Linked DNA regions of Daphnia pulex. The protein of the gene in region 1 purifies or fractionates together with the protein of each later gene. This does not show direct contact. Links are inferred from orthologs where the notes say so. Each region holds a gene or a part of one and is shown in the gene's direction. Other genes may lie near its edges.

Region 1 (5,824 bases):
ATCAAGGGACAGCCCGGTAAGCTCATGTCAATCGCCACCAAAGTTATGATTCAAGTTGCTTCGAAGTTGGGTGCGGAACCTTGGAGAGTTGCAGTCCCCCAGACGGTAACTTTTCTCGATCGAGACGTTTGCTTCTTGAATTCTTAATTTATCTTTTGGCTATTATTGAATGTAGAAATGGATGGTTATCGGCTATGATACGTACCACGATGCACGTCAAAGAAAAGCTGTCGGTGCATTTGTTGCATCCATCAACCCGACCTTCTCGCGTTACTATTCTTCTGTGAAAATTCATGAAAACAATGAAGAAATTTCACCCAGCTTCAAAGATCATCTCTTTGGCGCACTCAAGTATGTTTTATTATGCTTTCTTTGTTCCGTGCAAAATAATATCTCTTTTTCATTCGCACAATTAGATCTTATTACATCATGAACGAAAAAACATTGCCGGAAAAAATCATTGTCTACCGTGACGGTGTCGGTGCTGGAGACATTGCGCGACTGAAGGATACGGAAGTGGCGGCACTGAGGGTAATAATGATGAGTGACGGTCTGTGGGAAGATTTTGAGGCTCGTTTTTCTATACAATTATCATTTTTTGGCTTGAGTAGGAGGCTTGTTCCGATGCTGGTGCTCGAACAAATTACCTCGGGACTGGTGTGTATAATCCACCCATTGCGTTCATTGTCGTAAGCAAGCGGATCAACACGCGATTTTTCGCCATGGGACAACGTGGAGCGAGCAACCCTCCTTGCGGCACGGTTGTCGACAATAAAGTGACGCTCAATGAGAGATTCGACTTCTTCCTGGTGTCTCAAAAAGTTACGCAAGGTACCGTTTCTCCCACCAGCTACAATGTTATTGAAGATGACACTGGAATCGCCCCTGATATTCACCAGCGACTGGCTTATGCTCTTACCCATCTTTACTACAATTGGCCTGTAAGTTTTTTTATTTTTATTGTCTATTTTATTCAGAATTGAATTTAACCAATTTGTTCATTTAAGGGTACCCTGCGTATTCCAGCGCCCATCCAGTATGCGCACAAGTTGGCGTACCTTGTTGGTGAATCAATGATGACGCAACCGCATGAAGGACTGAATCGACTTCCTTATTACCTTTGAATTACCTTTCATTTATTTTCTCCCTAAGTTTTGTCATTTTTAACGTATTAATTTGTTCACTCATAAGAAAAAAACTAAAAGACGACGAGACATGCCTCACTCGCACGATTTTCGAATGACGCCAAAAATATTTTTCTTGAGTTTGTTTGCAATGGCGGATATCGACAATGGAAGTGTTTTTCATGCAATTTTTTTTTCTGTTTCACCTTCATGGGCCATGTCAGAAGTGTGATAATGAACGCCCCTTTGTGCCATGTTGTATGTAATCAAGGAATGAGTAATAAACCTTTGTTTTTAAATGAAGTAGATTTATTGACTTTCGTGTGGTGAGTTTTTATATGATGAAATAAACATGAGTTGCAATGGAATTCGCGTTGAGATGGCATTGACGGAAAAGCTCTACGTGTGCAATGCACATAGCACATTAGGTGTTTCGAAAGCACTGAGGAAAACAAAAGAATGTGGCATCGCTGCTTGGCAGGCGTGGTCAAGCTGACAGCTGTATCGAGAAGAATGCAGGCCTGCAAGGCCAACAAGGGTACGTCTGGGCAGGATCGTCTGGGCTTCCTCGATAGTCAACTTTCAGGTCCGCAAAAGCCAAAAGAACTCGCAAGTCATTGAATTGCTAATTGTCCACTAGAGACACCATGCGGCTGTCTCTTTTGTAACCAAGGGATCTCAATCGTCCCACAGCGAACTAAATCGTTTATAAAAATTATTTCAATACTATAAAATGACTTGATTTCATAACTTGAAGCTTTTTAAAAACACGATAAAATAATATTTACGTAACAAAATAGATGGTTGCTAGACATCCAATAATGAATTCACAAAAAGTATGCATAGAATCAAATGATTAGAATGAACATGTCATTACTCGGATAATAGAAAATTTGAATAAAAGTTTTATTTCATAAGAATTAATTAAATACCTAAAAGATTAGACAGCCCCCAAAGGTGTTTGGCCTTGTATAGATGTCAGCACTGTACGCTGCTAGATGCATAGGTAATAAGAAACGAGATCTGGCAATCTGGCCTCTTCCCATCCCATCGACTCTCGCTGGCATTTTCCGCTTTAGCTACAGGGCAAAGCATTCTAGCAAGCGTACGGTGGAGTCTCAGTTGCTAGCTACACTCTTTGGTCTTAGTCGAGACAATTCGAGGCAGGTTCCGATTCCAACGGTCTCGCTTTTGTTTCTTTATCCAGTGACATCTGCTTATAGTTTATTCCAGCAGCCATGGCAGACAGAGAGGATAACGTTTACAAGGCAAAACTCGCCGAACAAGCCGAAAGATACGATGGTACGTAAATGTCATTTAAATGTAAAATCGAAAAAAAGAATGAAGTTTCATTTCCTCTGTGTCTCTATGACTGTGCATCTCTGTGGGTAAAACCGAACGAGACGGTAGGCGGCTTTGAAAAAAGGCTTGGGCGTTTGACAGACTTATGACGTTTTGACTTTTTGTCTTTTTTCTTGTACATTCGGTTGTGTAATGGGGAAATTCAGCGGCGTCCCCCCTCTTAGTGTTGGCTTGAATACTTTCGATCAATATGACACTCGTACTTGAGGTTCATTTTTCCTGACAATTCCATTTTATCAAGTATAGTATAATCTCAGCCATGTTTTCTAGAATCTCTTTTGAGGGTTTTTGTCGCAGTACGAAATAAAAAAAAAGTAATTCTGGGTGTGTGTCCGGTGTGTGTGTGTATCTCTGGGTGGTTTTCCTCGAAACCTACCGCTACGTAACGAGATGACTTGGATCAATGAGTCATGAGAGAGAGAGAGAGAGAGCAGAGACTTTGGACTGTCTCTTTGTATACTTGCTTTCCAATAACTTTTTTATTCTCTTTTTCGTGAAAAATACGTAGTCGTTTCTATTCAACTTGGGCCTCTCACCATTGCGCATCACCAAGGCGACGGATCTCTTCAAAACGACGCTCGGTAGAGTACCCCACCCTTATGTGCGTGATGCGTTGGGGGTCCTGGCTACGTTGATGAAAACGTGCCGTCTAAAAAAGCTTCTCTCTCTCTCTCTCTCTCGAGGACATCAAAAAGGAAACCGTTCACACAACAATGGCCGCCTGTGATGGTTAATTTTCTCTTCTATATTTTTCTCTCGACTCTTCTGTCTGCGGCTTACAAAAACCAAGAATCGGTCAAGCTCTGACAGTGGGCGGAGAAACCCGATGGAAAATTAGCCACCATTTTTATTTTTCGTCTTTTTCCTTTAGGAAAATATTCCAACTGGTATGAATGGGGCGTTTTTCTATTTCCACATATTTTCGAAAAAATAGTTGTCGCACGTGACGCGTCTCGTGCCTTTTGTCGTTGTAGAAAAAAAAAATTAGTTTTTATATTTTTAACTTTATTCCCCCCCCCCCCCTTCACGTTTCAATGATGGAGGGAAGTTGGAAAGAAGAGAAAATGCGGTGTGGGTGTGTCGCCCTAGAACCTGTCATTACGCCACTGCGATGTGAATCCAAGTGGAGAGCCTGTCCGTGCATACAACTCGATCGTCTGGTTATTATTATTTCCCTGAATTCAAACATGTACGCCCAGCTGGAGAAACTTTTATTTTTCAATTCCTCCCTTAGAAAAAAAGAGGACACACATAGTTTTGTGTGTGTGTGCGTAACGTCAACTCGGTTTGCCCCTGTACTTTTCCTTCCTTCCGCCGTGGGGATGCTGATGTTGGGGGTTATATGACGACTGCGACGTGCTGGATGTGTGGAGAGCGGGCGGAACTAGGCGGTAGCGTGTTTCCTCCCGTGGCCGTTATTGATCCGCTACTTGAAAAGTCGCTCGAGTGTGGGGGGTGGGGTAGACAGGGAGATGGGGGGGAAAGAAGGCAAAGCCTTTATGTCTGAAAGTGTATCTATCTTTTTCTGTCCAAAAGAGAAAGGGATCCTCTGACAAGTTTCTTTGGCTAAGACTATATGATAATCTGTTTGTTGATGCAGAAATGGTCGAGTCCATGAAAAAGGTGGCGTCGATGGACGTCGAGTTGACTGTCGAGGAGCGGAATCTGCTGAGCGTGGCTTACAAAAATGTGATCGGCGCTCGTCGTGCATCTTGGCGCATCATCTCGTCCATTGAACAGAAAGAGGAGAACAAGGGAGCCGAAGATAAACTTGAACTCATCCGCAATTACCGCAATCAGGTATGGATAATGTATTCAAATTTTATTCATTGATTTGTGCCTTTATCTGTTTTGTCTATAGGTCGAGAAAGAGCTGAAGGACATTTGCTCTGATATTTTGAGCGTCCTCGAGAAGCATCTCATCCCATCAGCCACCACTGGAGAATCTAAAGTCTTTTACTACAAAATGTAAATCGATTTTTGCTTGGCCTTTTTTTTTTCAATCTTGCGAGTAGTAGTTGGACATTCCTATTAAATGCACCGGTGGATTTCTCTCAAAGTCCTTGAGACTCGAGCGTCTGTGATTTCGAATTCTACTCGTGTTTCGCTTTGAGAGAAAAGAAAAAGTGTCGTTACTATCTCTACCAAACGTGTACACAATTTTATCGTACGTAAACGTTGCGCCAAGCGCAACTTTGTGTGCGCGCAGACATGTTGTGGATGGATGGCCTGGTATTGATTATTGACGATTTTACACAACTCCCTTCCTCTGCTTTTGTCGTTGTGTTATACAGGAAGGGTGATTACCATCGGTATTTGGCCGAATTTGCGACAGGAAATGACCGAAAGGAAGCTGCAGAGAACTCGTTGATGGCTTACAAAGCCGCCTCCGACATTGCCATGACGGAATTACCCCCCACCCATCCCATCAGGTAACTTAACTAACAATTTGTTGCCGATCCTCAACTTAACTTTATCATTTGTAGATTGGGATTGGCCTTGAACTTTTCCGTCTTTTATTACGAAATCCTCAACTCTCCGGACCGAGCGTGCCGGTTAGCCAAGGCAGCTTTCGATGACGCCATCGCTGAGCTCGACACCCTTTCGGAGGAGTCGTACAAGGACTCGACGCTCATCATGCAGCTCTTGAGGGACAACTTGACCCTCTGGACTTCCGACATGCAGGGCGATGGAGAAGCTGGTTAGTAGAGCAACAGCTAATTGATTTTTGTCCAATCACGCCAACAGGACTTGTGTGTGTTAATAATTAAAATTTCCTTTTTTAAAAAAATTGATCAAGGAGATGGTGAACCAAAAGCGGAAGTCGCAGACGTTGAGGACCAAGACGTCTCCTAATCGGCGATGTAATTTGTATTGATGTGTTTTTTTTTCTTAAGTCCTACATGATTTGTTCAATTTTTTCATTATATTATTAATTTTTTTTTTTCAACAAAAAAAAAAGTAATCCGGAAATCCACCACCTATGTTTCCTTTACTCTTATCTGTCTCCCATTCGCTCCCCCTCCCTCTAATTGTTCATCCCGCGCTCTTCATCGAACACTGGAAACTGCATTACAACAATTACCGAAACGGTTTGCATGGACACGTGTATAACTCCTCAAAAACAAAACAAACAAAAAATAATTAATAAGCAAAGGCTGTGTGTGGTTTTTGTTGTCATTCCCGTTGTCCCTGCCCTCTGTCTCTCTTTAATTTCCAATAATCATTTCCGTTATCTCTTGGATCTTCCTCGTCGTTTTATTCGTCGAAGATCCAGCGTGCCCGCACACACACACACACAGACGATACACAACACACTCACAGTTTCAATTTCTCTT
Region 2 (4,054 bases), on another chromosome or scaffold:
ATCACTACTCTCAATCAAGCTACTTTTGTTAGTCTTTTTTCATTTTTCAGGTAAATGTTTACCCTACTACTAAAGCTTCTCGCAGAAGAGTCTTGCTCCGAATCAAGAATGAAATGTAGTTTAAATAAGTTTAATTTAAATGCTTGATGATTCACTAAGAATCTAATCTTGATTCGGAATAAGACTTGTTTTTTTATCCATTTCTATACAACCCTCTTTTCTATGCAGTGAGCAACCGAATTCAGCCCCTCAAAGTACCACGTGAATACGCTATCAAGAAATTCATTCCACAAGTCAGCTTCATCTTATGACCATACAAAAATTCAGTTGCATGAGATTATTTAAGTTAAATGCTATTTGTTCTAAAAGAGTTATTTTGACGGATGACACGAAGTAAGGACTTGATTTGAATTATATAATATTGGCGCCACTGCGTCAAAAAAAGCATTGTGTACAGTGGAAAAATGTCAAAAAATGTCAGTAAACTACAACTACTGTTATTATGTTTACTATTGTGTTCTATTCCTACAAAAACGACGGATGAGTTCAATAATTCGAGTACGAATAATCAGACAGAAGAAGCTTGCCTACAGGAATCATGTGAAACAATACCGAAAGAAGATAACGTTACGGACGTGGGACTAGCAAATAATTTCCTTCATGAGCAAACGATTGAAATTTTGAACGAAAGAGTAATACCATGGCATATTTCCAATTCAATATGCCCAATTGATAGGGAGTGCCATTCATTACCTGCTGATTGCATAATCTGCAAGTTCAATTTTACATGTATCTATGGTAACTTGGTAAATGTCAGTTGCCAAGCTATTCCAAAATGTGATGTATGCATTACTAAAGCAAATTTTAACTATATTTTTAGATTTAAGTAAGTTTTTTTAAATCAACAGGGTCCTAAAGTATTTGAGAAAACTATGAGATGTCAATATTGTTACCAGACTTCTCCAGAAGATCATTCCTGCAATGCAACAGGCAGCTACTGTAACACACCAGCTAACCCAGTTCAAAACTACAGATCCAACTGCACTGCAAAACCACATGTCTTGTGTTTAGGACAGAGGACATTTTTCAAAAATATTAGATGCAATTGGACATCTGGATACAAGGTAATAAATGTTAATTAATACTAAATGTATCATATTTTTTTAAATTTTTCTGTTTGCTAGTGGACTACAACTCTACTGTTGAGCATTACCTTAGGTGGTTTTGGAGCTGATAGGTTCTACCTTGGTCACTGGCAGGTGAATTCCTTTAAACAAGAAGTTGCATTCAACAGCTAATTTTTCTAAATTTTTAGGAAGGGATTGGCAAGTTGTTTAGTTTTGGAGGAGCTGGAGTATGGACTTTGATTGATGTGATATTAGTAGCTGTTGGTTACCTCAAACCAGCTGATGGATCTGTGTTTTTGTAGAATAGAAGAATATATAACTTGTGTACTGAGAAATAAAAAATTATCATGAAACTGTGTAATTCCCCCCTACATCATACAATTGTTAACATAGATCATTCTCCAATCAATTTGTTGACGAATGCTCTGAGCTTGTCATCGTCTAAAACTCCAACAAATGATCCTTCAACTTTTCCTCCCTTGATAGCAATGACTGATGGTACAGCAGTGACCTGAAACAATAATTCACAATGTCTTTATTAAAGATTGGGATAGATTTAATTATAATTATGTAATCGGGCAAACATACATTATATTCTTCTGCAAGCTCGGGGACATTATCAATGTCAACTTTGGCAAGATGAAACTTATCTAATTTTTCTGCAGCCAGTGCCTCCAGTCTTGGCCCTAAAGTTTTGCATGGTCCACACCATCTGGTATGATAATAAGAACACTTATGATGCAACAAGTAAATAAAAACATGTAAAACAAAAAGTTAATGCGACATACTTGGCGTGAAAGTCAACCAGGACTGGCGTGGAGGCATTTAAAACTCTTTTCTGGAAATCTTCTTGATCCTGAACATTGAATGATTGGAAGCTAGCTGTTCGACCGATAGAAATGGGCCGCCGAGCAACAAAACTAGTTTGGCTGATTAGATTGAATTTAATTATACGCTGCATTCTCAATAACTATTGAATGACGTTATAAATTTTTGTTGTATGAAAGCAAACAACGTTGCCCCTTTTCAAACAAAAAAAAGAAAATGAGTAAATTAGATTATCTCATTGATCAGATGTCTAGTTTGCAACGAATAGAGTTCAGCTAAAAAAATAAGCCGAGTAGAAGTTACAATTACGAAAAACGTTGGGACACGATATCGAAATGTAGGGGGAATCGTACGGACTACGGAGTGTGGCACGTACGTACGAAATGGGGTTACGCAACTTCACCTGTTTTGGAAACCTTCGATTACGCGCGGTCGTCGTGGTAACCAAGTTTCAAACACAAGATTTTCATAGTTGTATCAGATTACAAATAATGCCTCTTTTTCGTAGTAAATTTCAACCAAAAAAATGCCCTGCAAGAAAAACGTCCACTGTTTCAAATCTCAGACGGAACATGGATGCGCTACAACTGGAGAGAGAATTTAGCATTCAAATAGACAAGGTGAAACTGGATCTTGGAGAAAACCAACAGTTTGAATTTAATTCTGAAAACGCCAAGTGGGTTTCAATCAGCACCGCTCCCAATGCCAAAGCAAAATCAAGCACTTTACTTCAGAAACTTGAAGGAGAAAACAATTATCTAAAAATTCAAGCAGATTTGCTGTTGACTATGGTGAGTTCTGCATTAGATTTAAACAATTTCTATGACTAATTTATATCATTATTTAGCTGACAGAAACAGCCTTAGAAGCTCATTTAAACTCACTGGACGTACCTGATGAAACCACCACCGAAACCAAGAGTTCGAAGAAGAGTTCCTTTAGAGGACGAAAGTTATTTTAATACACTTTCAGCTCTGGAAACTGAAGCAAATATAATTTTGTGTGAAACCCTAAAAATCAAACATTTTAATTTGTGGAATTTATAATCATTCATTCCTTGAATATACTGTATTTACACTGGTCCGACTAGTCCACTTTTATTTAAAAGTTCTATTTGCAAGGAGCATCAACTTTGGGTAAGAGAAGGATAGAGACCACGAACTGTTTTCAGCAGCCAGTCTTCACTGTCCTCGCTCTTCTTGTGAACGAGCATAAGGATCATAATTATAGGCAAATGCGCCAAAGACATTCGGAAAAGTTTCCGAGAACTAGAGCTATCCGAATGGCGATAAAAACGCCAAGCTAAATACAAAAAATACATGTTTATAGGTAAAGAGTCCAGAGCAAACGTCCAAGTTGTTAATCCAATAACAGGTGCGGTCGTACAAATTCCTATCAAAGCAGCGGTATGTCGTAACGTTGTTCTCCGGCAGAGATCTACAGTAATTGAAGGTGGTGGTTATAGCTGAGACAATAAACGTTATCATGTTACTACATCTACCTGGATTTGTGACGGCCATCATTCTATACCCAGCACGGGAATAGTCGGATCTAAGGTTCCACGATAAAGCATTGAAATGAGGAAATTGCCAGGCATATAAAACTCCACCCAATACCAATGCGCCAGCGTCTAGATAACCAGTGCAACCAGCGTAACCCATCAGGGGAGGAAGGGCACCAACTATTTGTAAAACGTTATAAAAATTTTATTTTATGAACTATTGATAAGAAAAGCGTGCCATACCTATGGATCCGACCCACGTATTAGCTATACTAGATCGCTTCATTGGCGTGTAAACCAATGTGTACAACGCCAAAGTCAGAGCACCCAAAGACGCGCACACTCCGTTGACTCCATAATTCAAGATGATTAAACCAGTCGTTCCACTCACAGCCGCAAAAGACACAGCGTGCAAAGGGCTGAATAAAAAGCATTTAGATAATAATATTGTTGCGTGACCGATGAGAAAATTTACCTCAATAGTCCACGAACCAATACTCGATTGCTGGTTCTTGCCATTTGTGAATCGAAGGGTACCTCGAAAAACTGATTGATCCTGCACAGTTCATAGAGTTATAGAAATGATTCAACATAAAAT

The links.
Region 2: the proteins of 14-3-3 protein epsilon (region 1) and protein chibby homolog 1-like purify together in Homo sapiens (affinity purification with mass spectrometry; 3 studies listed by BioGRID and IntAct, with this or other methods). This does not show direct contact. The link is inferred for Daphnia pulex from reciprocal best matches to the Homo sapiens genes YWHAE and CBY1.

The regions. Positions count from the first base shown.
Region 1 is NC_060024.1:10,587,818-10,593,641, forward strand, and holds 14-3-3 protein epsilon, read left to right. Parts: upstream 1-2,195; 5' UTR 2,196-2,362; coding exon 2,363-2,426; intron 2,427-4,086; coding exon 4,087-4,286; intron 4,287-4,347; coding exon 4,348-4,454; intron 4,455-4,780; coding exon 4,781-4,918; intron 4,919-4,972; coding exon 4,973-5,187; intron 5,188-5,280; coding exon 5,281-5,342; 3' UTR 5,343-5,730; downstream 5,731-5,824. Other genes in the region: piwi-like protein Siwi, read left to right, coding at 1-105, 176-351, 417-531, 612-941, 1,008-1,124. UniProt on the Homo sapiens protein: Adapter protein implicated in the regulation of a large spectrum of both general and specialized signaling pathways. Binds to a large number of partners, usually by recognition of a phosphoserine or phosphothreonine motif.
Region 2 is NC_060017.1:7,935,947-7,940,000, reverse strand, and holds protein chibby homolog 1-like, read left to right. Parts: upstream 1-2,338; coding exon 2,339-2,746; intron 2,747-2,802; coding exon 2,803-2,916; 3' UTR 2,917-3,036; downstream 3,037-4,054. Other genes in the region: sorting nexin-29-like, read left to right, coding at 1-50, 229-265; TM2 domain-containing protein 3-like, read left to right, coding at 465-842, 909-1,124, 1,185-1,259, 1,316-1,429; thioredoxin, mitochondrial-like, read right to left, coding at 1,522-1,638, 1,716-1,839, 1,916-2,088; protoheme IX farnesyltransferase, mitochondrial-like, read right to left, coding at 3,082-3,392, 3,457-3,636, 3,700-3,875, 3,932-4,012. UniProt on the Homo sapiens protein: Inhibits the Wnt/Wingless pathway by binding to CTNNB1/beta-catenin and inhibiting beta-catenin-mediated transcriptional activation through competition with TCF/LEF transcription factors.